4 linked regions of the Caenorhabditis elegans genome follow. The protein of the gene in region 2 purifies or fractionates together with the protein of the main gene of each other region. This does not show direct contact. Each region holds a gene or a part of one and is shown on either strand. Other genes may lie near its edges. The genes, in order: scpl-4, slc-25A10, let-721 and catp-8.

The links.
Region 1: the proteins of slc-25A10 (region 2) and scpl-4 fractionate together in Caenorhabditis elegans (co-fractionation; one large-scale study listed by BioGRID). This does not show direct contact.
Region 3: the proteins of slc-25A10 (region 2) and let-721 fractionate together in Caenorhabditis elegans (co-fractionation; one large-scale study listed by BioGRID). This does not show direct contact.
Region 4: the proteins of slc-25A10 (region 2) and catp-8 fractionate together in Caenorhabditis elegans (co-fractionation; one large-scale study listed by BioGRID). This does not show direct contact.

Annotation. Positions count from the first base shown.
Region 1 is NC_003283.11:10,596,398-10,603,892, reverse strand, and holds scpl-4 (Mitochondrial import inner membrane translocase subunit TIM50), read right to left. Parts: upstream 4,789-7,495; 5' UTR 4,782-4,788; coding exon 4,706-4,781; intron 4,665-4,705; coding exon 4,576-4,664; intron 4,528-4,575; coding exon 4,420-4,527; intron 4,377-4,419; coding exon 4,206-4,376; intron 4,164-4,205; coding exon 3,936-4,163; intron 3,519-3,935; coding exon 3,192-3,518; intron 3,147-3,191; coding exon 2,990-3,146; intron 2,322-2,989; coding exon 2,119-2,321; 3' UTR 1,746-2,118; downstream 1-1,745. Other genes in the region: H27A22.1 (Glutaminyl-peptide cyclotransferase), read right to left, coding at 1,333-1,338; T21C9.13 (DUF4149 domain-containing protein), read right to left, coding at 5,464-5,687, 5,733-5,924, 5,971-6,151, 6,203-6,346. UniProt on the Caenorhabditis elegans protein: Essential component of the TIM23 complex, a complex that mediates the translocation of transit peptide-containing proteins across the mitochondrial inner membrane.
Region 2 is NC_003284.9:6,722,155-6,728,171, reverse strand, and holds slc-25A10 (Mitochondrial dicarboxylate carrier), read left to right. Parts: upstream 1-2,503; 5' UTR 2,504-2,511; coding exon 2,512-2,610; intron 2,611-2,655; coding exon 2,656-2,836; intron 2,837-2,906; coding exon 2,907-3,022; intron 3,023-3,067; coding exon 3,068-3,158; intron 3,159-3,625; coding exon 3,626-3,765; intron 3,766-3,876; coding exon 3,877-3,957; intron 3,958-4,015; coding exon 4,016-4,180; 3' UTR 4,181-4,429; downstream 4,430-6,017. Other genes in the region: K11G12.6 (Lipase maturation factor), read left to right, coding at 200-299, 366-544, 588-804, 867-972, 1,333-1,545, 1,592-1,933, 1,981-2,248; NRAMP-like transporter smf-1, read left to right, coding at 5,129-5,269, 5,699-5,920, 5,968-6,017. UniProt on the Caenorhabditis elegans protein: Catalyzes the electroneutral exchange or flux of physiologically important metabolites such as dicarboxylates (malonate, malate, succinate), inorganic sulfur-containing anions, and phosphate, across mitochondrial inner membrane.
Region 3 is NC_003281.10:6,443,317-6,449,891, forward strand, and holds let-721 (Electron transfer flavoprotein-ubiquinone oxidoreductase, mitochondrial), read right to left. Parts: upstream 3,592-6,575; 5' UTR 3,591-3,591; coding exon 3,356-3,590; intron 3,304-3,355; coding exon 2,702-3,303; intron 2,575-2,701; coding exon 1,785-2,574; intron 1,728-1,784; coding exon 1,561-1,727; 3' UTR 1,377-1,560; downstream 1-1,376. Other genes in the region: C05D11.13 (Vicilin-like seed storage protein At2g18540), read right to left, coding at 1-468, 507-655; T26A5.6 (UDENN domain-containing protein), read right to left, coding at 5,014-5,114, 5,309-5,442, 5,491-5,837, 5,894-6,216, 6,263-6,418, 6,496-6,575. UniProt on the Caenorhabditis elegans protein: Accepts electrons from ETF and reduces ubiquinone.
Region 4 is NC_003282.8:11,472,280-11,482,144, reverse strand, and holds catp-8 (putative manganese-transporting ATPase catp-8), read left to right. Parts: upstream 1-2,893; 5' UTR 2,894-2,912; coding exon 2,913-2,997; intron 2,998-3,055; coding exon 3,056-3,309; intron 3,310-3,357; coding exon 3,358-4,074; intron 4,075-4,556; coding exon 4,557-5,348; intron 5,349-6,050; coding exon 6,051-7,053; intron 7,054-7,396; coding exon 7,397-7,593; intron 7,594-7,637; coding exon 7,638-7,777; intron 7,778-7,892; exon of another isoform or gene 7,893-8,111; coding exon 8,112-8,364; intron 8,365-8,416; coding exon 8,417-8,512; 3' UTR 8,513-8,782; downstream 8,783-9,865. Other genes in the region: nse-4 (Non-structural maintenance of chromosomes element 4), read right to left, coding at 1-75, 123-381, 428-587, 655-928, 977-1,183, 1,227-1,292; mbf-1 (HTH cro/C1-type domain-containing protein), read left to right, coding at 1,993-2,304, 2,352-2,510; wht-2 (ABC transporter domain-containing protein), read right to left, coding at 8,834-8,974, 9,021-9,215, 9,262-9,351, 9,589-9,858.

The sequences.
Region 1 (7,495 bases), on a different chromosome or scaffold from region 2:
TAAGTTCCGGGCAAAAGGTGTGTCAATAGAAGCTCAATCGGAACTCAGAAATCGAAAATGTGAACAAACTGGGGGAGTGGGAAAACGAATCGCTTGAAAAACGCACCGATCGGTGGCTTTTGCATTAACAATGAGGCCATGATCATAAGGGACAATTGAATTGTGAGAGAAAGAGAGCAAGAATACAAAAATGGTCAATATTCGACTCTGGATTGTTTTTTTAAGGGGATTTTTTTTTGCAGCTTGCTACCAAACTAGACATTACACGTTTTTAATGAGAATTTTAAAACATTTTCAAAACTTTTTATGGCTGTTCAAAAATTTGAAAAGATGGGCTAATTTTGCCAACTTGTGTCAAACTCTGGAAATTTTTTGGAAATTAACTGTTTTTTTTTTGAATTATTATTTTTGTAGCATATTTTGGTATTTTATCTCATATTATTTGTTTGATTACGGTATGTTTAAAGCCGGCAGGCAATCAATTAAGATAATTTTTGGACTTGAAAATGCCTGAATCAACCAAATATTATGAGATAAAAGACCAAAATATGCTATAAAAATGATAATTTTTAAAAAAGTTAATTTCCAACAGCTGCGTCACGGAAAAGTTAGCAAAATTGGAGATTTTAATTAAGTCATTTTTGAAACAAGCGAAAAACTTAGAACCGATACTTTATCTTCAAATGTACCTATATTTATGAAAAAGTAACGTTAAAAAAAGAAGTCAATAGAATCTACGTACCAGTCATGATCACTGTTGAATATTCGCTCTTTTTCTCTGCACCATGAATAATGCAAGTACATGGAAAAAAATGCGACTCGATTCTTGATGGTATAATAAAAACTAGCCAACTGTGTAGGAGCGGACAAAAAGACCAGTATCATCCCAATGGACACAGATGCAACTTTAGACGAGACAAATTTCAGGGTAAATTGTCAGATTGGACAATTTTGGACACAATACGTCATATCTATGTTGTAGGTAGTAAGATGATAGGACTTTTAAGAAACGCTTTTCTAATATTGGAATTATTTTTTAATGTTAGGAGTTCATGCTAGATTTATATCTGCCTAACTTTTAATTACAGTTGTAAATTTGAAGAAAAAAAAGAGAAAGTGTATCATTAAACGATAAATCGTACTTTCACTATGTTCTATCACAAAAAGGAAACTCCTGCAGATTTCTTCATTATCACTCGAGAAAGATCCGCCCATTTCTATCATAATCTTTCTGCGTCTTCTATCTTTAAACCTTTCCACCATCTACAATTATTTTCAGAAATCGGAGAGAAAGATTAGTGTAGTATTTATTTACCAGTAGTTTATTCTTACCTTCATAATTGTCCCTCTGTAATCCTTCTCTTGTAGATGACGTCACCAACTGTATTATCTGCGTCTCTCCTCCTCCTATGTTCTCTCTTCTGAAGACCCGTTGCTAAAACGAATGAATTGCTCAATATGGAAAATATATATTTTATGACGTGGAAATAGTCAAACAATTGTAATCGACCAAATGTTTGATTTGACTTTAGAGAGTAACAAAAGAAGAGACGCAGTGAATGAAAGCTTTCAAAATTTGGAACGATCATATACTGCGTCTCTTGTCTTGTGGATGCTTCTGATGCCCTTTTGATGGCAACATCGACCCAGATAATCGAAATGAAATGAAAAGAGAAAAATAAAAAGTGAATGTGATAAAGCTTTCTCGCGATTTTTCAACGCGCGTTTATCAAATGAGAAGAACACAATTTTTCTGAATGTTTTATCGGATTTTATGGTGAGAATTTCAAAAACAAAAGGAAAAATGAAACGAACACTTCTGAAAAAAATTGATACGTTTTTTTGGAAAGGGTGGAATAAGAAACAACAAAAATCAACAAAGAAGTGTGTAGACGGAGAATTCAACTGTCATATACCGGCTCTGAACAACTCTAGTGTGGGAAGAACTAAATTTAAAAAAACACAAGAATGGAAAGAACTAAAAAAGAAAACAATATAAACCTACAATCCTATATTATTAGAAAAATTGAGCTATAAAAAGGCACATTGAGAGTGAAAAGGGCGCAGGGAAAAGAGAGTCAGAGTATCATATCATCAGATGAAAAATGTTTGGAAAGTTTAGGCATTAACGTGTCTTCTAGATCCGAACAATCTTCCAGAATATCTTTTCAACATGGAACTATCATCGGGTTGTTGTTTCTTTTGTTCTTCTTGTTGTGACAAGTATACAGCTCGTCGACGGAATTCTTTCGCTGGATCATCGTATTGCGAGTAGTACTGTAGCATGGGACGAACATCTTCAGCGTCAGATAGGTGAATAGCTGAATTAATAAAATACAAAATGTTCCAATAACGGGATCGATAATGATCATGTTTTTTGCCAAAATTATAAGATTTTATGTTATAATTTTAAAAATGATGTAATTAAATATCGAAGTCAGATCTGTTGGTTTTTCGTTTAATGCGTTTTTTTTTGGTTTTTTCGGGAAAAAGGAAAAATTTGCGAAAATTTTGTTAATCTATCGCAAACTGAAAATCGTATGATAATGTTCAAATTTAACACCTTTTTTTTCAAAAGAAAAATTACACTGGAAATTAGAACTATTGAAAATTTCAATAAAATATCTGAGTTTTTCAAATTAACGTTCAAAACGTATTTTACGGGAACACAGAATTCTGAGAATGCGTATTGCGCAACATATTTGACGCCCAAAATATCTCGTAGCGAAAACTTCTTTAGATGACTACTGTAGCGCTAGTGTCGATTTACGGCATTTCGAAAATCGAGCCCGTAAATCGACACAAGCGCTACAGTAGTCATTCAAAGGATTACTGTAGTTTTCGCTACGAGATAATATGTGCGTGAAATATGTTGCGCAATACGCATTCTCAGAATATTGTAATAAAACAAATTTTTTTTTGCTTTTTTCGTGCTTTTGGCAAAAAAAATTAAAATTGAAGCAAATCATTCATATTCAAAACAACTTACTTTTAAGAAGCTCTGCCAAATCAACTAGACTTGTATCATCCATATTTCCTTTCCACTCTGGTACTCTTAACATGTTTTCTGGATTTAATTGTCCTGATTTAGCGTCAAAATCGATATAAATAACTTTCGACAAATCGCGATTCAATTTCGACAAATCCTGGAAAAAAAGTTTAACTAATTAAGAGAAATCGTAATTTTTTACTTTGACATGGTGTCCATTCATATACTTTGTGCAATCTCTGAACAACTTGTACATAATTCTTTGTTTTGGATCAAAACTATCAACAACTGGAGCAGCTGTCATCATTGATTCAGATGAATAGATAACGACTTCAAAATTTGGATATCCAATGACATCGAGGAAATAGTCAAGTGCTGGACGCTTTAGGAAACGATATCCAGTTTTGTATGTCCATTCAGGATGCACAAGAATATTTTTCAATTCGATCACAATTGTATATTTTGGTTGGAGATATGGTGCTGGCAATGGATCAGGCAACAATTGCTCACGTGCTGGCTCGACGACATACTGAAAATAAAAATATTAAAATACAGTACTGCCGGAAAAAGTCGCGATTCCGACTTTTTTTTTTGAGCAGAAATTACAAATCATTCTGATAATGGTACTAATTTTTAATCATTCTTTTTATATTAAGCTATTTTTTGTAAAATTATTCATTTCAAAAATTGGTCAAGAAAAAGTGCAATGGATGAGATTAACTAAATCTATTTTGAAACTTATCAAATTTTGCATGTGTTACTGATTATGGATTTATAAAATTGTTGGTCTATTTGATGTTTTAAGAAATATTATTATTGGTATATGAATAAATTAGATACTTTCAGAAAATATCAGCAATAGCTGTAGAAAAAAGGTATTCTGGCATTTTGTGTTCAACAATGTTATACATTTCTTTTTTGAATCTTTAAAAGATTGAATTCTCACATCTCTCCATAATTTAAAACTGTTGGCAATGCGGTAGAACGGTGCCAAGAAAGAACCACTGAATTCATCAGATATCACATTTCCGAATTCATCTCGTTGTGCACGTCCATAGTAGAAACAGAACGAAATAAATCCGATAATAGATCCACCAAACAGAACATATGCTCCAATGCGAGTATTTCTTTCCATTCGTTTCCGGCGAGCTTCGATTTCTTCAGCGTTACCAGGCTTAAAAACCACACTTAAAACAGTTATGAATATAAGACTTACGTCACTGTTATCACTAGAACCTCCAGAAGAAGAGGAAGACTTTGATGCAGCAGATTCCAATTTTTCAAGAGAATCTTTCAGTGAGTTCAACTCGTCAATGGCTGAAGACGTGGGGGCAGGAGCAGGAGGCGGGGAGCTCAGCACCTTTTCAGCTTCTATTTTTGGACTTTCCTACAAATTTCAAAATTTATCAAATAAAACAAATTATGCGTACAACTTCGAGTTTCTCTACTTTTGGGGCTTCTTCGACTTCTGATTTGAATGCGATTGCTTCTTGGGTCTCATTTATCGGCAATTTGATACTAGCAAAAACATTTCCGTGCTGAAAACTGTATAATTATAAATTATCTATACTGATTCAAGTCAATACGTTTATTGGCACAATTGGAGCAAAACGAGTGCGTCCATTGTCTGCATAAGGGTTTGCAACAGCCGGTGGGCCCAGAAGAGATTTAAAATCTGAAATTTTTGTATAATGAGAAATATTGGTGGAATCTTACCTGAACTATAAAGTCTTATAAATGTTTTCGCTTGGTGTCGGCTGAAGCAGGTCTGAGTCAACTTGCTCAGCGACATTTTTACCCTGAAATTTTTTGGGATTGGTAGAATCTAGAAATGCGTACTATGATGCAATAATTAGGTTAAAAAAAAGTATGAGAAAACGTAGAAATTTTGATACAAGACCTAATTATTATCTTTGCAAGAAATTTAAAATGAATTGAACATTGTAATAGAATTAAGAAAATAAAACAGGAAAAATCACGTCTTGAACGAACCCTTACGATTTACGATAAACAACACGCGAATCGTAAACCGGAGTGTCGTTGCAAACTTTCATGAAAAATTTTGTTATAATTTTTATAATTTTAACAAAAATGTCTGTATCTTGTTATAAATTTATACTTATAAGAATACGCTTGTTTATTTAATACTTTTTTTCACGAAAATAGTATGCACTAAAGATGTGTTCAAAGAAGTTCCCTATTATTAGCGCTATATCGCTATAAATGTCGAGATGTCAAAGAGCGTGACTGAATTTATTAAATTATATAGATAATCCTGTTAATAAATCAAGCAAGTACAAGTTATTCTTGAAATAAATGAATAGTCGATTTTAAATCGAAATCACAATAGGCTTTGGATATGAATTCAACGTTAGGAGAATATATTATAGGACCGAGCTTATCAACAATCATTGGAGCAATAGAATAAGTTATGAATAGGGATAATATGCTATTAAGGATGAATTAATAATCTCTTATACTATATCTACGGTTTCACATGAAGCATTCTTGTTTGGTGCCATCCGAGTTGAATGAATAGTCGAATAGTGATTCGGCATTGTTGCATCGTATACGCGGAAGCCAGGAACAAGGACGGGACGTGACTCAACCAACTTCAAATGGATTGCGTAGAAATAGACAATATCGTGTAAAACTGCGCAGAATAGTAGAAGGCCGAGCATATTCAACGAGATGTCCACTGAAAAATGTTTTCTCAAATAAAATTCTGGTTCGCTCAACTCACTGATGTTTATCCGTGCATCAACTAGCTGCTTCACTTTGAGCATAAAAAGTACGAGAGTTCCGTTTGTGGCCATGACTGCAAGGAAAATGTAGAGTGGCATGAAGAGACGGCGGTAGAGAAATACTCCGGAAAACAGTATAGCGAGAAGTATCAGCCATTGCACAATCACGACACGAGTCAGAAAAGCTTCATCTGGAAACAAAAATGTATTTTTAAAAAATTTTCAGAAAAAACTCACCAAAAATATTGTTTTTCTTCCTTGGGGTATAGTTTCCATACTGAAAAACGAAAGATCCTGCATAGTATCCAATAGTCAGAATTGCAGCAAATGCATAAAGAAGAACTACTCGTGGCGAGTGTTCAATCCATTCCATCTCTAAACCATCAATGACATCTCGCTTCATAAATACTGTTAGCGGCTGAAAATTTTAATTAGTTTTAATTATTTTTTAAAGCATTTTTCAACTTACCTTTTCAGAACTAACAACAGATTTGCACGGGGGAATATAAAAATAGCTGTGCTCCGCATTCGGTACTGAGTATTTCTTAGAAGCAGGAGTAGCGAATATTGTGTGATTAGTAGGGATTGAAGAAATAAAAGAGGATGACGACATTCCTACTGAAGTGATCGAAGATCAACTGAGGAAATATCGACTGATGAGCATTCAAAACTATCGGGTTCATCATTATGTTCGAATTCGCGGGGTTAAAAAAAGAAGAGCAACAAATGATCTACACACACGCACAAGTCTAAAAACAGGAAAAAATCGAAATTATGATCTAAAAGTTTGAAATATTTATTATTTATACTCTTTCAATATCTAAATATTATTTACACAGAGAACAGAAAATAAAAAAGTTCTTGAAACAATTTCTAAAGCTTCTACAGTAAGAATGAAGGCGCATAGCATTCTTCGTTTAAAAATATATTTCGCGCGGCGAGGCCCACTTGCATAATTGGACCTCCCTTTAAAAAAGTTTGAAATTCACATTAAAAAAGGCCTTTAAAGGCAACGTTAACGCGATATTTACAATGATCATTGTAAAAAGTAGAATAAAAATCGTTACGGTCGTCGTTAGATATTTGACGTGTTTTCCAAAGTTCATAGTTAATTTATTCTATTTAGATCCCTTGGACTTGTATCAACTTAATTTATTCTATCTCAAATTGTGAAAAAATGTTGATTTTATAAATGTCAAAAACATTTGAAGATTTTTACAACTAAAAACATCGCATACAATTTTTGTAATCCCAAGGGTCTCTATCTCCTAGCAACGAATTTCTGACTCCATCTTCCTGACTTCTTTTTGTTTTCAATTCAATTGGCATACAAATAAATCCTATGATTATACATAACCTACACTCTTTCGCCTGAAATCCATTTCTGGTCGAAAGTGGTCATTTTTCTTTCTAAATTGGTATGAGAATGATTTTCTGTCCAATAAAATTTCCACATTCATTCATTCCTGTTCCGTGTCCTATTCTATCTTCCTATTGCTCCCCTCATATAATTTTTTCAATGGCATGTAGTCACGATAAGCATAGTTTTACCAAGTTTATAAACAAACTAAAATGTACACCTTCACATGAAATTTGAACATTTTCATTCAAGTGGCATGATTAGAAAAAATATGTACCAAATTTTTTTAATGACGAAACTTATGATACTGCTCAAATTAAGATTTAGAAGATAAACTAAATTGTTAATCAAATTGTTTCAGTTTAAACTGTTCTACCAACCATTATAAATTAGACTGAACTC
Region 2 (6,017 bases):
AAGGTTTTAGAAACGTGAGAATTTAGCGCTAAACTTTGACTGTTTTTTTCCGAAACTTTCTATCGTCATAAATTTTTTTCCTGGTTTGAGGAGTTTCATTAAGGAGTTCAGTTTTTTAGGCCATAAAATCATGATTTTATGAGCTCCGCCTTTAAAAAGTTGATTTTTTTCAAAAACTCATTAGAAATTTATATTACAGATTGCTCTATTTGGAATAGTCTCTCTTCTACTTCGTGTTGTGTTTATGAATGGAGCAACAAAGTTGTTGAGCAAATGCCCTACATGGTGGAATCTTACAGGTAATTTACAAGAAAAACTCTAATTTTCTCAGACAGTTTTATCAAACCTTGTTTTTTACATTTCAGCTCTAAACTATCACTTTGAATCCCAACCACTGCCGACTCCGTTTGCATGGTATGCTCATTATTTCCCGCAATTCTTCAAACAGTTGGCAACGTTGCAAATGAATTTTATTGAAATTCTTCTTCCGCCACTCTTCTTGATCCCATTGATCCACGTTCGGTACTTTGTTTTCTTCTGTCAGGTGAGTGATGATGACAATGATACAATTTAACCACAAAGTTCAGGTTCTTCTCACGACACTCACACTTTTCACCGGCAACAATGGTTTCTTCAATTACAATATTCTTGTATTGATGGTCAGCTTGTTGCAAACACCCAGAGTTCCAATTGGTGCTTCATTCCTTGCCGCGATAGTTTTCGCGAAAATCGGATTTGAGGTTGTCTATCGGTTGCCGTACAAAATTTTGTTTGAAGACGATCGTTTGCCCAGCTTTGCACTCAGTGAGTTTTGAAACTTTTTTTCTAAGTTTGTGGACTGATTTTTATGATAATTTTTTTTTCAGCTCTCACGCACGAATCTTTCCGTAAATTCATGATATACTATATTGATGTCATTGTTGCAACTATGGCAATAATTTTTACAATCGTCAATTGTTATTCGATGTTAAAGTAAGTTTTAGCCTATAGGTGGGGTAGCCCCAATGGGGAAGCAATGCCAAGATGACCAAAATGACCAAATTGAAAATGCGAAAATCATCGGATGTCATAGTGAAACTCCAAATTATTATTTTTATGTCTCATGAACTTATGGTTTTTCAATAGCACTGTCGCATATTTGAATCCCTGCAATGTTTGAACATTCACAGTTGAAATATAATTAGATAAAACAAATTTAAAAATACATTTTGAAAAAAATTATTATGATATTTGGACATTTTCGCATCATTTCGCATCATTTCGCATCATAAGGTTTCTAACAATTTACGCACTGGCGCTACGCTGCCTTTGACATCTTAATTTTTTTTTCAGAGTTGGTTCGAGTCAAAATGGTAGAATGAAGAAATGGGTGCACTTGGCATTTGTCTTGTGCTCCGTCCTTTTTCTCGGTGTCTATGGAAATATTCCATTGCTAAGAATGGACGAGAAACTTGCTCAGCGAACATACGAGCCGCCAGTTGTGATGACCATGTACAAGACTGTGAATAGCTGGAGCGTAGCAAACTCTTATGGATCCTACAGACAGTGAGATTTCACTTTTTTGAAATTAATTAATTTTTGAAAACTCCAGAATGACCGGAACACACGGAAGACCAGAAATTGTGATTGAAGGATCTCATCATATTGAAGGACCTTGGAGAGAAATCGAGTTCACCTCGAAACCAGGGAAGGTGTCAAAGCGTCCAAGATTTATTTCTCCTCACCATCCGCGTCTTGATATGCAAATGTACTATGCTGCCGAAGGAACATATCAGCAAAATCCGTTCTTTCTGTCACTTGTCTATCATCTTATGCAGAACACAACGGAAGTTGTAAATTTGATTGAAGATTATCCATTCAAAAATCGATCAGAGCCGATGAGATTTGCGCGTGCCAAGCTCTACATGTACCACTTCACTGATATCGGAGACAAGTTTGTGTTTTATTTGAACTTATATAACTCCAAAACTATTTTTTTAGAAACTGGTGGACCCGCAGCTTCCAAGAAGAGTACATGCCGACCTTTAACAAAGGAAATGACGCTCTTCTCAACTATCTCACCGAGCACAAAATCATTAACAAAAGGAAAAGTGAATTCGTTAACGGTCCTCTTGGAAAGTATCTGAAACAGTGCCACCGTCTTACAGCCGGGATCGACGAGATCGCCTTGATCTCCACAATGGTTGTGCTGGTGTTTTTCAGAAAAATGTATAGCTACTTCTTTTCGGCACATCGTCGGAATGAATAGACACCTAACCACTTCTTATTAGATACTCGATTTTTTTTGTTTAGCTTTAATTGTTGATTTCGCCATCATCGAAGCATTAAAATTCATTGACATCTCTTTTTCTTCCCCTGTTTACTGGTTTATAAATTATTTTCAATTTTTTAAAAACATTTGTTTTTTTTTTTGAAATTTGCATGTGTTCGATTCACATTTTATATATTCATTGCTTTTTTAAAATTTTAATTAATATAATAATATTAATAACTTACAAAACAGGTTTTATAATGGCCGAAGACAAAACCAAACGACTTGGACGATGGTATTTTGGAGGAGTGGCTGGAGCCATGGCCGCTTGCTGCACTCACCCCCTTGATCTCTTGAAGGTTTTAAACACATGACTCACTTTCGCAAAAATCCAAAATTTTCAGGTTCAACTTCAAACTCAGCAACAAGGAAAACTGACGATTGGCCAACTTTCACTTAAAATCTACAAGAACGACGGAATCCTTGCGTTCTACAACGGAGTATCTGCATCGGTTCTCCGTCAGCTCACTTATTCGACTACTAGATTTGGAATTTATGAAACTGTAAAGAAGCAACTCCCCCAAGGTTGGATATTGTGCCCTTTCAATGTTTTGATCACAGAATCAATATTTAAGAAAAAAAAATCATTTTCCAGATCAACCATTGCCCTTCTACCAAAAGGCGCTTCTCGCCGGTTTTGCTGGAGCATGCGGTGGAATGGTTGGAACACCTGGAGATTTGGTTAACGTTAGAATGCAGAACGATTCTAAGGTGAATCTCAAACAATTAACGTTTAAAAAATAATAAGTGTTCCAGCTTCCCCTAGAACAGCGCAGAAACTACAAACACGCTTTGGACGGATTGGTGAGGATTACTAGAGAAGAGGGATTCATGAAGATGTTCAATGGTAAGCCGTTATAAAGTTTTTTAAAATAAGAAGCTTGAGAACAAAAGTACCGCATTCATTCTATTAGTGCTAGTATCTCAGTTGTCGGTCTTCCTATATAAAAATTGTCAACTGACAAAATATTTTTGTTCCTTTATCTATTGTTTCATAATACTAAATTTATTGATTTTTTTAAAATCAACCAAATTATAACTTGACAAAATGAATGAATGTGAAAATGCAGTATACAGGTTTTAAAATAGAACCTATCGTATTTTTAATTTCTAATTAACCTGAACAATTTGAAACTTACTGTATTTACTCTATTAGTAAGTCATCCATATCAAACTTGCACCCTCTATCATTAATGTACCTCGAAATTCTTTTAATGATTAGTCTTGCACTCAGTCTTATTCTTGAAATTCCGACTAACTACTTTTAATTTTTTTTTGGCTGTCTCCATTATATATTTGAATTCAAAATTTCAGGAGCTACTATGGCGACATCTCGTGCTATTCTCATGACCATTGGTCAGTTGTCATTCTATGATCAAATTAAGCAGACTCTTATCTCTTCTGGAGTTGCCGAGGACAACCTACAAACTCACTTTGCCAGTTCGATCAGTGCGGTAAGTATGGGTAAAATCAACAACTTTTCCCAGTGTTATTGCCCAACATCAGTACCACACACAAATACCTAGATCAGCACCAAATACACAATTCATTCATATTTTTTCTAGGCTAGTGTGGCTACTGTCATGACTCAACCATTGGACGTGATGAAGACCAGAATGATGAACGCCGCCCCTGGCGAGTTTAAGGTATTATCGGCATCATAAAAAACGCCTACCAAAGTCTACTTTATTTTTTTTTTTGCAGGGAATTCTCGACTGCTTCATGTTCACCGCCAAGCTCGGTCCAATGGGCTTCTTTAAGGGATTCATTCCGGCTTGGGCTCGTCTTGCCCCACACACCGTTCTTACATTCATCTTTTTCGAGCAGCTCCGATTGAAATTTGGATATGCTCCACCAGTAAAAGCTTAAATGTTTCCCGAAAAAATTAGATGTTTCCATTATATTTTATATGTAGAATACTTTTGTGTAGAGATTTCAATTATTTGAATCAAAATGTTTGAACTTTTGTATTAGGAAGATCTGATCCTCCCGTGTTCTCTTTATACAATTTATATATTTTAATGTGTTTTGTATTTTTGATCTATTCCCTTGCCATTGCTGTAATAACCATTTGCATTTCTGAACAACACTAGTCAATAAACACCGAATTGTATTTTGTTTTACTTTGAAAATTTCTTTTCTAACGAATGTGTGAATTCAAACTAAATGTTATCCCATGGAAAAATTTCATAACTATCAAACACAAACTCTTTCCAAAAAATACTGTTTGCTATTCAGGATATGAGTAAACTGTTTACGTTCTGTCAGCTCGATAACCCTTTTTTTTTTGCAAAACGCGCACACCTGTGTATAGGACAGCGTTTTTTTCCACAGCGTTTTTTCCTATTCCTCCCCATTCCTGCCAATAAAACATTTCACATCTGAGAGCGGTAACCAACACTTTTATAGTTTAACGTCTTTTAGTTTTGTTCATTGTTGTTCACACAAGTAGAAGAAAAGGAAGAACTGAACAAAAATTAAATGCGCGAAAAGAATATCATGTGGTTGAAATGAATTCGATTATGACAAATAGATGAGCAACACTTTTTGATTTCTGATAGTTTTCTTTCATTGTGTTCATTGTTGAATCGTTTCCCATAATGCGGTGTTTCACATTTTTTCTTTATAGTCTACGTCATCCCTGCCTCTATCGTGTTTCTGCATAACCAGAGATGCATTGATTTCTTGTTTCACGTTTTTTTGATAATCCTTATCATCTTAGGCTTCGATTTTGTTTTCAACTCAGCGTGGTTACTGATACACAATTCATTCATAATTCAAATGACTATTTCAGGTGACAAGTTTCTTGGCTCCGGTATGGCATCGTCTAATAACGATGGTCCCATTGAGCCTGAGGCTGAACCGTGGCGAATAACACAAAACGATCATCTCGAGCAAGATCTTTTGGAAGAAGATGCAGAGAGTCAGGAGAGAGTTGATATTCCAGTTGATGATGTGGTAAGTGACCCAAGATTAAATTATTTTTAATGAGTAGGTGGCGTCGATTTTTTCTTGAAAGTTACCAAAAGTGCCAGTTGCGAATTATTTTTTAAGATGTGAAGATTGCCGGAAGAACATTTGTATTTCTTCTATTTTTAACAAAAAAGCAGTTCAAATTCATTTTTCGCTCGTTTTCTTGTTGTTTTTTTTCCCAAAATAAACGCTTGTCATTTGTCAAATTTATTGAATTCGACAATCACCCACTGTTTGAATTAATTAGAGCTTCCGATTACCGCCCACTGTTCGTTTAAGTTATGTCTCCTTTATGGTGAAATTATTACAAATTTGGAGTTTTGATTTTCGAAATGTTTGGTTTCAGTTCTTATTGATAAAAAGTTTTTTATATCAATTATTAATGTTAATTTCCTATAACCAATTTTTTTTCAGGAAAAAGCGTTCTCCTTCAAAAAATTATGGGCGTTCACAGGGCCCGGATTTCTCATGAGTATTGCCTATTTGGACCCAGGAAACATTGAAAGCGACCTTCAGTCTGGCGCACAAGCGGCTTACAAACTTTTGTGGGTTTTGCTCTCAGCTCATATTATCGGAATGTTGCTCCAACGAATGTCTGCAAGACTTGGAGTTGTCAGTGGAAAACATATGGCAGAGGTAATATCTAAGTTACATTGAGTAAATTTAAATATTATGTGCTTAAGGTTGCCTACCAATTTTACCCAAGACTTCCTCGCATCATTCTCTGGCTTAT
Region 3 (6,575 bases), on a different chromosome or scaffold from region 2:
TCCTCTGGTGTTTCATTCTTAATAGCATCCCGACGTCTCTGAGCATTCTTGGCTCTACGCAATTCAGCTTCTTCTGGAGTTTCAGCCAGGAGACTCTTCCTTCTCCGTTCCGCATCCTTATTCCTTCTTTCCTGAGCTTTTTCGAATGACTCCCTTTGCAGATACTGGCGTCGATGCTCTGCAGCCTTTATTCTTCGATTATTTGCCTGATCTTCCGACTCTTGCATTCTTTCCATTTTTTTTCTTTCAGCTTGCCTTTTCAATCGTTCTCTATATTCTTCTTCTGTCTCTTCTGAGCATCTCTTCCTTTTATAGTCTGCAGCCTTGGCAAGACGTGTGTGAGTCTCCTCTGATGTTTCACGAGCTCTTCTCAGACGTTTCCGATGTGCTTCTTTGGAGAGTCTGCATTCTCTAGATCCTTCTTGAGGTTCGGATGAACTTGGAATATCCGTAATATGAGGTCTGAAACTTAAAAAAAATTTTAATATGCTATTTACTACTCTTACTCATCACTTGAACCAGGTAAAAATGTTGCTATAAAATTCTGAATTGTTTCTTCTAGGCCAGCATTTTGTGGACTTTCAGATTTATTCCCATTACTCTTCTCATCTTCTTCTTCGTCTTCGACAATATTTTTGCAATCTTTTCTACTCATTCTGAACTTACAAATATACATTAATTTTTCAGAAAACTTGAAAATCTACATTACTAAATACACAGACAGAGGTTTTGCGACTCCTGCGCCAAGAATACGGTGCCGATTCTCGACACGACATGTTTTAGTTAAATGAGAAAAACTTGTGCGCCTTCAAGGAGTACTGTAATTTTTTAATCTAGTTGGTGTGGAACCGTTCATGATTTTTCATACTTTTCTTACGTTCTGTTAAAATTCGTGTTTTTTTTTGAGTTTTCAATAGTTAAGGATGTTTTTCATCGGAATACGATGGAAAATCGATGAACATTCCGCAACTACAAAAGTTTGTAATTAAAGTACTCTCCAAAGGTGTGCACCGTTTTGAAATTATCACATTAAAAAAAATATCATGTCGAGACTGGGTACCGTTTTTGGCGCAAAAATCTCAAAATTACGCGTCGGAGTAATAAGAAAAATATAAATAAGGCTCAAAGAAAACAGGAGAATCGATGACGGCTTTCTGTGTGTCTGTGTGTCTTCATATCTTCATTGTCGGTGTTTCTGTGTGTATGTCTGTCCAGAGACAAACATACACGAGCGCAGACGTCTTGTTTGATTATCTGCGTCTCTTCTTCTATACAACACTTTGCAATCTTTTCAGAAAAGGATACTGTAGTGGGATGAATGTATATATGTACCACAATTATGGCAATATTGAAGCTTTTCCGTTCAAGTACACACTAATCAGAAATCTATTCATTTGGTTTGGATAAAAATGTAATGGCATTACAAAAGATGGGGAACACGAAAATGAGAGAAAATTGAGAGAAACCGTTGAAGAACAGAAATACATAATCTACGAGTCGATAGTGGCGAATAAATAAGTACAAAAATTATACACAAACATAAACGAGAAGCTAAAGGATTCACATTCCCTCGTATTTTGGGCCACCACCTCCTTCTGGTGTAACCCAGTTAATGTTTTGTTGAGGATCCTTGATGTCGCATGTCTTGCAGTGAATGCAATTTTGAGCATTGATTTGGAGACGCTTCTTTGATTCATCAGCTTCGGATGGGACGAATTCATAGACTCCTGGAAAAAAAAGTTATTTATGTGTTTTTAAAAGTCAAATTTGTATTAAAATCTCACCAGCTGGACAGAATCTAGCCTCCGGGCCACCATATACTGCCAAATTCACATCAAGTGGAACTTGATCATTTTTCAATGTCAAATGAGCAGGTTGATCTTCTGTATGGTTGGTTCCAGTAAGAGATACAGATGTAAGAAGATCAAAAGTTAGCTTTCCATCTGGTTTTGGGTAATCGATTTCTTTTGCATCCTTCACTGGAATGAGCTTCTCATTATCCTTCTTTCCGTGTCCAAGAGTCCATGGTTCAATTCCTCGACCGAAAACATAGAATATTCCAGAATAGATCAGTCCTCCAATGTATCCCAATGAAGTATTGAATGATGGACGAATATTTCTGGTTGCTTTGAGCTCTTTAACAACATAAGTATCACGAATATTCTTGTCATATGTAGCTGGATCAATCGTTTGCACATCCTCTCCCTTTTGTTGAATATCCTCGAAAATTGATTCAGCAGCCACCATTCCACTTTTCATTGCATTATGAGTTCCCTTCAGTTTAGCGACATTCAAGAAACCAGCTGAGCATCCAACAAGACATCCTCCGGGGAAATGAAGCTTCGGGATACTTTGGAATCCTCCTTCATTGAGAGCTCGTGCTCCGTACCCAATTCGTTTTCCTCCTTCCAATTGTTTAGAAATCGATGGATGAGTTTTGTATTTTTGGAATTCTTTGTATGGATTGAGATTTGGATTCGCGTAATCAAGAGCAACAACGAAACCAACGGAAACAAGTGGTTGTCCTTGATCCTCGATATGGTACAAGAAGGATCCTCCGTATTGATCAACATTCTGAAAAATCATTTTTTAGAGATTAAATTCTAGAATATATCTTTTAATCTGAAACACTCAAAAAAAAAGCTCACATTTTACTAGATTTTTCAATTTTTCTTAATTTTTTAGATCTTCAGAAACTTACCAATGGCCATCCCATAGTATGCTCAACATAACCAGGTCTATGCTTTGCTGGATCAATTTCCCAAAGTTCTTTGAGTCCAATTCCATAAGTCATTGCATGTGTTCTCAAATCAAATTTATCGAGAACTTGCTTGCTCAAATGTCCTCTACATCCTTCAGCGAAAATTGTGCATTTCGCGTGGAATTCCATACCACGAGCAAATCCATCTTTCGGTGCTCCATCCTTTCCAATTCCAACGTCACTTGTGGCAATTCCCTTCACACTTCCATCTTCATTGTAGAGCACTTCAGATGCAGCGATTTCTGGCCAAACTTCGACTCCAGCTGCTTCAGCCTGCTCGCCGAGCCATTGAACGACCTTTCCAAGACGAACAATATAGTTTCCGTGATTTGCAAGTGGAACTCCAGGTAGCACTGGAACTGGAATTCGACCAGATTCAGTGAGAATAGCGATAGATTCAGAGGTAACTTGTTGGTAAACTGGAGCTCCCAGCTCTTTCCAATTTGGAATAAGTTCATCAAGAGCTCGAGTTTCAATTACAGCTCCTGAGAGAGTGTGCCCTCCAATAACAGATGCCTTTTCGACAACACAGACACGAAGTTCTGAAATTAAAAAAAATATGTTTACTCTAAAATGTATTTGTTTAGATTTTACCTTTCTGAGCTTTTTCAGCCAATTGTCTCAATCGAATGGCTGCTGATAAACCAGATGGACCTCCTCCAACAATGACAACATCATAAACATCACTTTCTCGTGCCAAATCAACATCCTTCCACCGTGGATCAGTGGATCGATCCTTTACAGTATAGTGAGTAGTCGTCCATTGTCCGTTGACGACGTTGCGAAGTTGTGATGAGACGCGGAATAATGTGACTCCACTTATCCGCATTCTGAAGTCACAGAAATTGAGAAATGAGAAAGAAATCGATAATTGAAGAAATAATTGTTGCATTTTAATTTTAAAAAATTACGTGAATTTTCAATGAAAAATGTATTTGCTTTTTTCGCAAAATATATGCATTCTGGTTACTGTTAAATACAAAAAGGTGTGCGTCTTTAAAGAATACTATAATTTCAAATTTTCTGTGGAATTTTACTCTATTTTTCATAGATTTTCGAAAATAATAATAATAATTAATAATTAATAAATAAGCTTATTTACAGAAGACTCAAATATATCCGTTGATATAAATACTTAAATTTTAGTAATTCTGGAAAAAAAACAATGATAAACCGGTAGAATTTATGTAGCAACCTATTTATGTTTGAAACTACAGTACTCATTAAAGACGCACGCCTTTTCTCATTTAGCAAAATTTTGTCGCGTCGAGACCGGTGACTGTATCTTTGGGCGCATAAAATTGAAAAAAGAAACAACTAAAAATATATTTAGACACGATGGGAAAAAACAAATCGATTGACCAACTGCAGACAAAACAAACAAGTCAACAACCAGCCAAGCCAGCCACAATAAATGGGTGATTTACTATCAAAGATACATTTTTCGAATTATTTTTGGGGTCACAAAATTGTAGTTCTAAATATTTTAGCTAAAATTTATAACTTTCTTCTACGTATTCCTCAAATGAAAACAAAATACATAATTGTTGTGATTTTCGGAAAAGAAAAGCAAAAAATCAGGGTAAAGTGTATCTTTGCGTACGTGTAGAGGAAAGGAGAGATAAGAGGAGTAGACAAAAGGGCAAAGTACAACGAACATGTGTCTCCCACGAGGGACAAAAAGAGGAGAGACTACAAATCTGAACGTCTACAGTGCAAAGGTAGCTTAGTGACGTCACAGGAAAACAAAGTTTGTAGGGGGTTCCTGGGAAGTTTGAAAAGTTTGTTGAATTTTAACATTATCAATTGTAAATTGTGCTTTTAAAATGTGAATAAGAAAACTGGAAAAAATATTATCCGAGTTTTTGAAAAAAAAGTTTTCTCTTCAACTAAATATTAAACGTTATTTGTTTGCCTCTTCAACTTGTCTACGTATTTAAAATCAAAACATTAATGGTCACAGATCATAAATCACAATTCTATCATTAGAAGAAAGTAATATATAAAAGGATGTTCATCTTCACCCGTATATTAAACCAATTTTTGAGTTTAAACAAATGCATAGTTATATTGATTACATGAAAAACAAACTGATTAGACTTACATAAACCGGATGAAAACGATTCGATCATTAAGAGATCAAATTGAATGGAACACAAACAAAACAAAGGAAATATGACAGAAATTCTAATTACAATAAAAAACTTTAAAAGATGATAAAATGCCCATTATACATATTTGACTTTAATAAATCACTCAGATGGCTCCTCTGCCTCTTCAACACCTTCTTGTGCGGTTGCTTTTCGATTCCACCAGTTTGAGAATTTTGCTTTGACTCGACTACCGGTTTCTCCTGAAAACACGATCGAGTTAATCACTTTAGTATTAAAAATATTTTTTTCGTTTTGGCAAAATGTCAGTTTTGTAAATTTTGAACATTTTGAATAATTCAAAGCAATGAAAGCTATGCCCTCAATTTTTTACTGCTACTTCATTTCTCGAAATTTTTTAGATGCTATATTAATTTCCAAACCCGAAAAAAATTACCAATGGTATTTCCTAAATTCTTTCCGGCAGTATTTACAGTTCCAATAACTTTTGAAGCTCCTTCAACTCCATTTACGGCATGTTCAAAACGAAGATACACGTCATAGACTCCCATTTGTTCCGAGAACATGTGCCTGAAATATTCAGATTGAAAAATGTATTCATGTTCTGAAATTCCTCACCCTGGCGCAACAGATGTTAAATCTTCATGTTTGTTTGCAACCCAAATTTTGTGATTTTTAGTTCTCCGCCATTCGTTTACAAAAGCGATTCCAAAATGAGGTATCGCTGCTTGTAGATCGGAACGTGACGTGGCAACGAGGCCAAGAAGATAGTTTTTCATTTGTAAACGAATCCATTCATCTGATCCATCGAATTCAGCATTTGAGGATTTAACCTGTTCTTCGACTTTTTTGAGAATAAAATCAGCGAATCGAAGATCTGCAGTAGTTAGAGAAACTACTCGTTCCAATGCTGTGTCGTTGACAAATTCAATGTGATTATGGACAAGAGAACCGTCGTCTTCGATCTGAAATTACTCAAGTTTAGTTAGAAACCTGAAAATTGTTAATTTAAAATACAAACCTTCACAATAACATCAAATAAATCCTTTTTCATCGCAAATAAGGCATTCGTAGCTCCAAATATACAACTCTGAGTCTTCGGGACTAAATCCATTGATTGAATTGATAGATATGGATCAAATGATGATCCTTGTGTGAATAAGCTTATAGGAAATCCACACGAATCCTTTTCTTTCAATGGATCATCATGTGAAAGCTGAACACCAACCTCCTCTTCTATCACTATTTCTTCGCTTTTTCCTTCAGTTTTTGAATTTACATTTTTGAAATGACAACTCGTATTGACCCCGATTGTTGCGTAGAACAGACCTTCTTCCAAAAGCTCTGAAATTCAAAATTAAACGATTTTAAAATGTCTGTATATTCTTACTTGGAAACATTGAAACAATAGCCAGCATAGTTTCTCCTAATCGTAATCCAGTTGGTGCAATGAATAAAACTTTCCGCTCTAATAGGAATAATTTAAAAAGCAGTAGAGCTCGGTGACGGAATCGTATAAAAAGCTCTTGAATTGATATTTCTGAAACTGATATCGCTAATTAAAATGTGAACATTTGAAACTATTTTCATGTTTTATTTTAGTAAATTGATTCAATAACGTACCATGATGAGCTAGATTTGAAAAGTATTCTCCAGTAAGATTTTCGTCGAATATATCGCAAAGATTCGTATACATTTGAGCA
Region 4 (9,865 bases), on a different chromosome or scaffold from region 2:
TGGAACACCGTTTTCTTCTAGCAGGTAAACTTCACGATCGCGCATCAAATACGAGACGTAGAACATATTTTCAACCTGGAAAATGTCCCGTAAAATAGTTATTTAACCAAAAATGAGCTTACCGTTCTAGAGAAACTAGTCGGATTTGTGATGAGTTCGTAATAGTCGATTTGATCCGTCTTCCGAGTTTTAAGCTCTTTTTTCAGAACTTTCAGAACATGTTGAAGCTCTTTTGAGATTGAAACCTCTTCACTTTGAACGTTTCTCGCCTTATCGCTTACTTTGACAAGTGCTGCGGGTTCTTTTCTCTTCGCACCTCTCTCAACCTTCTCGCGGATCTTTTTCTGTTTCTCAACACGTTCAACATCAACTAGTTGGACACTGAAATAAAAATAAAAATATAAATTACAGAAACATTCCAACGAACATGAAATCGCAACCAATATTAAATGGATAAACTGCAGGCTGAATGAATTTTTTATAATGAGGAGGACCATCATCGTCTTTTTTCGAGCTGCTCGCAAAAACCAGCTCAGGAGTCAGACGGTGGAATAGGGCAAGGCGTGAAGCAAATCTATGGTTTTCCGCTGAAGCAAACATATAAAGTTATGTTTAATTTTAAATCAATTTGAACTAAAAATTTAGTTTCCTTACAGAGTCGGGCGTCTTTGTACATATCGTCGTACATTTCATTGATCTCATCCATATTATCATCGACAATCCATTCATCGCACCAGTTACTTTTATCCACTGTATGAGCTTTCACAGAAGTCTCGATTTGTTTCAGAGCATCTCCAATTTTATTTCCAGCATCAACCGGGTCAATTACAGCACCTCCATTTATTTCGAGAAGAGTCTCACGCGTCGTTTGACCGACAAGTTCTAGTAATTCAGTGTCCGTTGAATAGAGAGCGGTGTTTAGAGCTTTCTGAACAAAAAATACAATTACTAGAGGTTTTCAAAAGTTATGACCTACTTTTAGCGGTTTCGATTGTTCTCTCAAACTCGTAACAGCAGATTCCAGTTTTTTAATTTTAGAATCGACAGTTTCAGATTTCCGAATATGGGCGAGCTCGCTTATCTGTTTCTTTAGCTCTTCGGCAACGGCATGATTCTCTCTGCATTGCACCGTTGCACTTTTCTCCTCTCGGTTCCGAAGTTGCTCGATTTTGTCCGCTGTAACCTGAAATAATGTTACTTTTTCAGATCGCATCATCTTTGCTAACCGGCTGTCTACATAAATTGTCCGCAACCATCTTTGAACTCATGCGGCGAGGATCGATACCATCCATTTTATCCCTGAAAACAACACTTGATTTTATTGCTATATTGGAATAGAGTTTTCTGGTTTTCATGAGTAGATTATTTACGATTACTCCTGAGAATGTAATTTGATAAAGCTTTAAAAACGTTCTGAATAGAAAAATATCAAGGAGAAGGGTTCAAGAGAGTGAAAATGTTGCAAAATACAAACAAATTGCAAACAAAAAAACATGATTTTGAAATTCGCTCCGCAATTGCGCGTCACAGTGTTTGCACACAAACCTCATGGCTCCGTGGAACTTTCTCGAAAAATAAACGATTCTCTTTTTGTTTTTGGACTGAAATTTTACGTATTTTCTGAGTGTTTTCTTTTTTCTTGAAATTTGAATAATTTTTATGACAATTGTTCATACAGAGAGCAATTACGTGTTCAATCGTCGATTGAAAAGAGTTCTTCCTTCCGTCTGTCAAGTTTTAAATGTTTTTTGAAATGGCACAAATAAAACGTTTTTTCGTAGTCCATGATTATATATTCTGCCACTAGTAAGAATGAAATCGTTTCATTGTTATTAGTGTCAGAATTTAAAAAAAAACTGAAAATATCGTTGAACATTAATTTATTTGCTTCCTCCGGGATCATATTGTGCAATATTTCATCGTTTCTGACATACTATAAATACAATAACTTCCTTTCAGAACAAGTCTCCAACAAACTTCCATCTTATCAAAATGTCCAAGTATGGCTGCCCAACCTCTGACACTGATCCAAACTCGGTCACAATGATTACGAAGCGAGGACCAGTGAACAAGACATTGAAATCGGCTGCTCAATTGAATGCTGCTCAGCGTGCTGGAGTTGATATTTCGACCGAAAAGAAGACGATGTCTGGTGGCAATCGCCAGCACAGCGCCAACAAGAACACTCTGCGGCTTGATGAAGAAACGGAGGAGCTTCATCACCAGAAAGTTGCTCTGTCCCTCGGAAAAGTCATGCAGCAGGCTCGTGCCACGAAAGGTTGGACGCAGAAAGATCTTTCAACGGTTAGTTAATTTTAAAATGAGATCTTTAATTGAACATTTTATTTCAGCAAATTAATGAGAAGCCGCAAGTAGTCGGCGAATACGAAAGCGGAAAGGCTGTCCCAAATCAACAGATCATGGCAAAAATGGAGCGTGCGCTTGGAGTCAAGTTGCGCGGCAAAGATATCGGAATGCCATTTTCAACAAAGCCACCAGCGAAGAAGTGATGAACTAATAATGTTACATCGAATAGGTCCAACTCCTGGTGTCCCCACTTTCCCGTCTATTTCTCTCATTCTCCAGCCCCGAAATTCTCTTACCGATCCCCGCGTCTCCTGTTTTCTTGGGTATCTCTTTCCGTCTGGCCTCTCTTACCCGTACCTTATCATGGTTTTTGTTCAACATTATTGCTCTTTTTGTTATATTTTTGTATTTATGCTAAATTTATTTTCTTTCTGTACAGAAACGACGCAGGAGAATCTGAAATAAACGTATCATTTTAAATCCATGACTGTGACATGATTCAACTCTCCCAACGTTTCCATATCGTTTACAATTATACTTTAATTCAAATTCGCATTGTTTCTAAATACAAAAATCGATTTTGCAGGGTCCTGTAGCCCGGAAAGATGGGTGTCGACCAACTAGTCGAGACTATTATACCATACAATTTAAGGTCTATAGCAACTCATTTATATGTTCCTCCTTTTACAAGTGAGTCAAAGAATAAGTTAATGAGATGGAATTTTTAAAAATAAATATAATCTTTCAGTAATCACTGCAATCTGGACATATGTCTGGCTCAATATTTTCGGCTATGAAGAATATTATGAACTTGGAATGTTGGGATATGCAGCAATTTTTGTGATTCTTGCACTAGTTCTTCTTTTCTGTCATTGGATGATGCCTGTTCGATGTTTCCTCATGTGTTCAAAGCAAGAAGATGTTCGTATTGCTTCTCATGTGTGTGTTATCCCTACACAAAATAACGGATGGCCGGAATTAGTTAAACTTATGAGAACAACGGTTAGTCACAACTATTTAGAAACATTTTCTTCAAATGAATTATTTCAGCGTGATAAACAAACAAAGTTATGGTTCGAATTTCAAAGAGTTCACTATACTTGGGATGAAGAGAGCAGAGAATTTCAGACGAAAACTCTTGATACTGCGAAACCAATGGTTTTCTTTCAAAAATCACACGGATTCGAAGTTGAAGAGCATGTTAAAGATGCTAAATATCTTCTCGGAGACAACAAAACTGAAATGATTGTTCCACAATTCTTGGAAATGTTCATTGAAAGAGCTACAGCTCCATTCTTCGTCTTTCAAGTGTTCTGTGTTGGATTGTGGTGTCTGGAAGATATGTGGTATTATTCACTTTTTACACTTTTCATGCTTATGACATTCGAAGCAACACTCGTCAAACAGCAAATGAAGAATATGTCTGAAATCCGGAATATGGGAAATAAAACGTATATGATTAACGTGCTCCGTGGCAAGAAATGGCAAAAAATCAAGATTGAAGAGTTAGTGGCCGGAGATATCGTTTCAATTGGAAGAGGTGCTGAAGAAGAATGTGTTCCATGTGATCTTCTGCTTCTACGTGGACCCTGTATCGTTGATGAATCGATGTTAACTGGAGAAAGTGTTCCACAAATGAAAGAACCAATTGAGGATGTTGAAAAAGATAAGATCTTTGATATTGAAACAGACAGCAGATTACACGTTATCTTCGGAGGAACCAAGATTGTTCAGCACACAGCACCAGGAAAAGCTGCAGAGGGAATGGTAAGATTTTGAAAATACAACGTTTTTAGAGTCACCAAAAATGTATTTTATATTTCTTTAATTTTTGGACATTAGATATATTATTCCCAAATTGGTTAAAAATACCGACTTTCGTGATCATACATTGTGAAAATTTCTTTTAAAAAGTTATGGCGGTTCAAATTTTTGAGAAAAAAACTTATTTTCAGTTAAATCTGATATATTTTTTTTCAATTTTTCAGCGTCGCAAATTAATTTTTTAAAAATTATCACTCTGTTGACTAAAAAGGCATTTCAATCAACGAAACAACGCGTGATAAATTGCCAAAATACTTCCTTCCGCGACTTGTACACAAAATTTGAGATTTTCGCTGGAAGTAATTTTTTTTCATCAAATCTTTGAACCAGGCCATTTTGAACCTAATGAAGCCTGTGACCAAATTTCTGTACTCCATCGTTAAGAAAATGAGAAAAAGGCATATTCTCAGCTAAATAATTTGCAGGTAAAATCACCGGATGGAAACTGCATCTGTTATGTAATTCGAACTGGATTCAACACTTCTCAAGGAAAACTCCTCCGTACTATCATGTTCGGAGTCAAGAAAGCAACTGCTAACAATTTGGAAACCTTCTGTTTCATTCTTTTCCTTCTTATTTTCGCAATTGCCGCTGCTGCATATCTTTGGATCAAAGGATCAGTTGACGAGACTCGGAGTAAATACAAATTGTTCCTTGAATGTACACTTATTCTCACTTCTGTTATCCCACCGGAGCTTCCAATCGAATTATCACTTGCTGTCAACTCATCATTGATGGCTCTTCAAAAATTGGGAATTTTTTGTACAGAACCATTCCGAATTCCATTTGCCGGAAAAGTCGATATCTGTTGTTTTGACAAAACAGGAACATTGACAACTGACAATTTGGTTGTTGAAGGAGTTGCATTGAATAATCAAAAAGAAGGAATGATCCGAAACGCAGAAGATCTTCCACATGAAAGTCTTCAAGTTCTAGCATCTTGTCACAGTCTCGTTCGATTCGAAGAAGATCTCGTTGGAGATCCATTGGAAAAAGCATGTCTTTCATGGTGTGGTTGGAATTTAACAAAAGGAGATGCTGTAATGCCGCCTAAAACAGCAGCCAAGGGTATTTCTGGAATTAAAATCTTCCATCGTTATCACTTTTCATCGGCAATGAAGAGAATGACAGTTGTTGCTGGATATCAATCACCTGGAACTTCTGATACGACATTCATTGTAGCTGTCAAAGGTGCTCCAGAAGTGCTCAGAAATATGGTAAGAATTTTATATTTTGTCTCGACAGGACAAATCTTTGTCTCAAAAAAAAAATTGTCTGACTTATCATAAAATGGAAAGCCAACATTTTTGATTTTCCAGAAAACCATAAGAAACATATAATTTTCTCATTAAAAAAAAAATGAAAAATGGCCAAAATTTTGAGCTAATTTTTGAAAAATCGAATGTTTGTTATCGAAAAATTGGAGAAACAGAAAATCAAAAATTTTGGTTTTTTAATTCTTAATAATAAAAAACGAACAATTTATATTTTTTCGATTTTCCGGAGAAAATTATCCATACAATTCAATTTTTATCCTATTTTTATTTATGTTGACGAAAAATGAGAAAAAAACATGAGAAAACACAATTTGTTTCATAAAATAAGAAAAATAACCAAGATGGTAAGCTATTTTTGGAAAGTCAACAGAACGAAGAACGAAAATGTTCGATTTTTAAAAAAAAATCATCGTTGTTGAATTTGTATCGATTATTTCTCAAATTTTGTTCAAATTTATCTGTTTTTATAGCTTTATTTTAGTTATTATCATTTTTATTAGAAAACTATTAAAATCGATGAAAATTCCAAAGCAATGCGTTTTAAATTACAGTTTAAAGGCGCGTACTAATTTGCATTTAGTATAGATTTATAGAAAACTTTCACATCTGCGTAATAGTCATTTTCTAAATTTCTATTTACAGTACGCCGACCTTCCATCTGATTACGACGAAACGTATACTCGTCTGACTCGTCAAGGATCTCGTGTTCTTGCTATGGGAATACGTAAACTTGGAGAAACTCGAGTTGGAGAACTTCGCGATAAGAAACGAGAGAATTTCGAAAATGATCTCGCATTTGCTGGATTTGTCGTCATATCGTGCCCACTGAAGAGTGATACTAAAACAATGATTCGTGAAATTATGGATAGTTCTCATGTAGTTGCAATGATTACTGGAGATAACCCATTAACAGCTTGTCATGTATCAAAAGTTCTTAAATTCACCAAAAAGTCATTGCCGACTTTAGTTCTTGATGAACCTGCCGATGGAGTTGACTGGATGTGGAAATCTGTTGATGGAACTATCGAATTGCCGTTGAAACCAGAAACAAAAAATAAAATGGAGAGAAAAGCGTTCTTCAATTCTCACGAATTCTGTCTGACCGGTTCAGCTTTCCATCACTTGGTGCACAATGAGCACACTTTCCTACGAGAGCTTATTCTACATGTTAAAGTATTCGCAAGAATGGCTCCAAAACAAAAAGAACGAATTATCAACGAGTTAAAATCATTAGGAAAAGTTACTCTTATGTGTGGAGATGGTACAAATGATGTCGGAGCTTTGAAGCATGCTAACGTTGGAGTTGCTCTTCTAACAAACCCTTATGATGCAGAGAAGGCCGCTGAAAAAGAAAAAGAGAAAAAAGCAAAAATCGAAGAAGCTCGTTCACTCGTTCGCTCAGGAGCTCAATTACCACAACGACCAGGTGCCCCAGGAGCACCTCCAGCGGCTAACGCAGCTCGTCGTGATGCTCCTCCTGGAGCCCGCGCGAGAGCTCCCCTACCACCAATGGCTAATGCTGCTCAAGCCCGACTAGATAATCTAATGAAAGAGTTGGAAGAAGAGGAAAAAGCTCAAGTGATCAAGTTGGGTGATGCCTCAATTGCTGCGCCATTCACCAGTAAATATACATCGATTGCATCCAGTGAGTTTTTCAAACAATTTTACCCAGATTTTTGCGCTAAAACTACAGAACCTATGGTCTCGACATGACAACTTTTAAAATACAAACGGGCGCGCGCCTTTAAAAAGTACTGTAGATTCAAAACTCTTGTTGTTGTAGAGTTTTTTAATGAATAATTTTTTAACGAAAAACTATGAAAACTCCGCAGCAAAAAATGTTTAAAACTACAGTACTCCTCAAAGGCGCACACGTTTTTACATTTGCCAAAAATTTGTCGTATCGAGACCGGGTACCGTATTTATTACTTTTAGTGCAAAATGTTGTGCCTCTGTATAATATCATTCACTTCTCAATTTTTTTTCAGTTTGTCACGTCATCAAACAAGGTCGTTGTACTCTTGTTACAACTCTTCAAATGTTCAAAATTCTCGCTCTCAATGCTCTTGTTTCTGCTTATTCACTTTCTGCACTTTATCTGGATGGCGTTAAATTCAGTGATACCCAGGCAACTATTCAAGGACTTCTTCTTGCAGCATGCTTCTTGTTCATTTCAAAATCAAAGGTTTTTTATCTAGCTTATTGTTAATTTTTATGTTAAAATTCCAGCCTCTGAAAACATTATCTCGTCAACGACCAATGGCGAATATTTTCAATGCCTATACTCTTCTGACTGTCACTCTTCAGTTTATTGTACACTTCTCTTGTCTCCTTTACATTGTCGGACTCGCACATGAAGCCAATACAGAGTAAGTTTTAAAGAAAACCTGAAAATGTGCAGAAAATTGTATTTTGCTGTCCAGCCCTAAACCATATTCTTTATAAACGCGAGTTGTATCTCTCCGGCGGCATTGCCGTGTGGTCGAATGGTTAACGTGTGCGCTTGTCGCCCGTTAGTCGCTGGTTCGTGCCCGCGCTGTAGAGTTTATGGCGGATAGGAACCAGGTCATGTTTGTACGTGATTTGGGCCGACATCCCCGCCGAAATAGTCCTGCGAAGATCTAAGGTCGCTTCTGGATGGATTTGCCACCGGGTGCACACCATCTTCGTGCACAATTTTGAATATTCAACTTTTTTTTTCAGAAAAGCTCCTGTCGATTTGGAAGCAAAATTCACGCCAAATATTTTGAACACTACGGTTTATATAATTTCAATGGCTCTTCAAGTTTGCACATTTGCTGTCAACTACAGAGGACGACCGTTCATGGAATCTTTATTCGAGAATAAGGCCATGCTTTACAGTATTATGTTCTCAGGAGGAGCAGTTTTCACTCTTGCCAGTGGACAAGCTACGGATCTCATGATTCAATTTGAACTAGTTGTTCTACCAGAAGCTGTAAGTTTTATCCTATAAATAGTGTTCCTTATTCATACTTCTCTCATTTCAGCTACGAAATGCGTTGCTAATGTGTGTCACAGCGGATCTTGTTATCTGTTATATCATCGATCGTGGTCTGAATTTCCTGCTGGGAGATATGTTCTAAATTACTCGTTTTTCTTATTATCCTTCTTCCTTGACATTCCCTATCAACATCTTTTTTCTGCCATCCTGTTGTTTAATTTATTTTTTCGGTTTTATCTTCACTTAGAACCAAAGCTATCGCATGATCTAAGATCAGAAATAGTCATTTCATTGTCGCTGTTTCAGAGCATAATGTTTCTGTGATATATACATTTCTGTTGAAATCTTGCAGATTCATTTACAATGTATTTATTTGAGTCTTTTTTTAGTAATAAAATTATCATCATCATTCAAACATTCAACAAATTTGTAACGAGTATAAAATTTACATCAGAAATTGTTTCTATCGAGCTTTGCTGACTCGCAAAGCTAATCCAGCGTAACCAATAGTGTAGAAGATCAAAATGAATGCAGACATGATGAAGAGATCCGGATAAAACATTTCAGCGCGGAATGACAATTGGGAGAGTACGGAATCACGTTTCTGAAAAATTAAATTAAAATTAACAGCATTTCAAACTGTTTCTAACCTCATCAGTCCAAATAGTTGTATTCTGTTCATTGACACTGCTCCACTGATTGATTGCAAAAGCCTCAAATCCATATCTGAACCACGAGAGATACTGTATCCACGAGATGTATGATGGTAGTGCACCAACATTAGCGTAAAGACCTCCAGTCAATGATAGAAGTGTGAGCATTGGGCCAGCAGTTGACATTGCGATCTGAAAATTCTATGATTTATGAAGTTAATTGAAGTTTTTTACAAACCGGTAAAGACGGCGAAATGCAAGAAATCATGATTCCACAAGCTGAAGAAGATTGCTCAATGAGGAAGGCGATGAGGCATGCGTATAGAACCTGGAATTCCAATTTTTCAAAAATATTATGGAGACGCAGAATAATGCGTATTTCGAAGTTTGGTCCCATTAGGTATTTGGCGGCAAATCCATGGATTCGAAAGTGTTTTGTATTGTTTTGCCGCCAATTAAAAACGCATTTTTCTGGGTCCCCATAATACAGTATTCTCAATATTATGAAAGGAAAATATGACATCTCTGAACTTCAAGTTTTGACTTTTTTTCCTTCAAAAATTACCTGTGTAATAGAACTCGAGAATCCGACCATCCAATATGATACAAGAAGCATAATAAGTCCATCGGCAGTAAATAGTGGAAGATATGAGAGACATCGAGCCACATAATATGAGAAAACAGAATAAAGACCATCGTGATATTCTCTGGAGACTAATGGAAAGTCGGCTGGCAAAAAGTTCAAAATTCCGAAAATTGTAGAGTAGGTGAGTTCACAAACGAGATAAAATAGAGCTCCGTTCAAGTTTGAAATTCCGATTGAGGTAAGTGGGCTCTGAAGA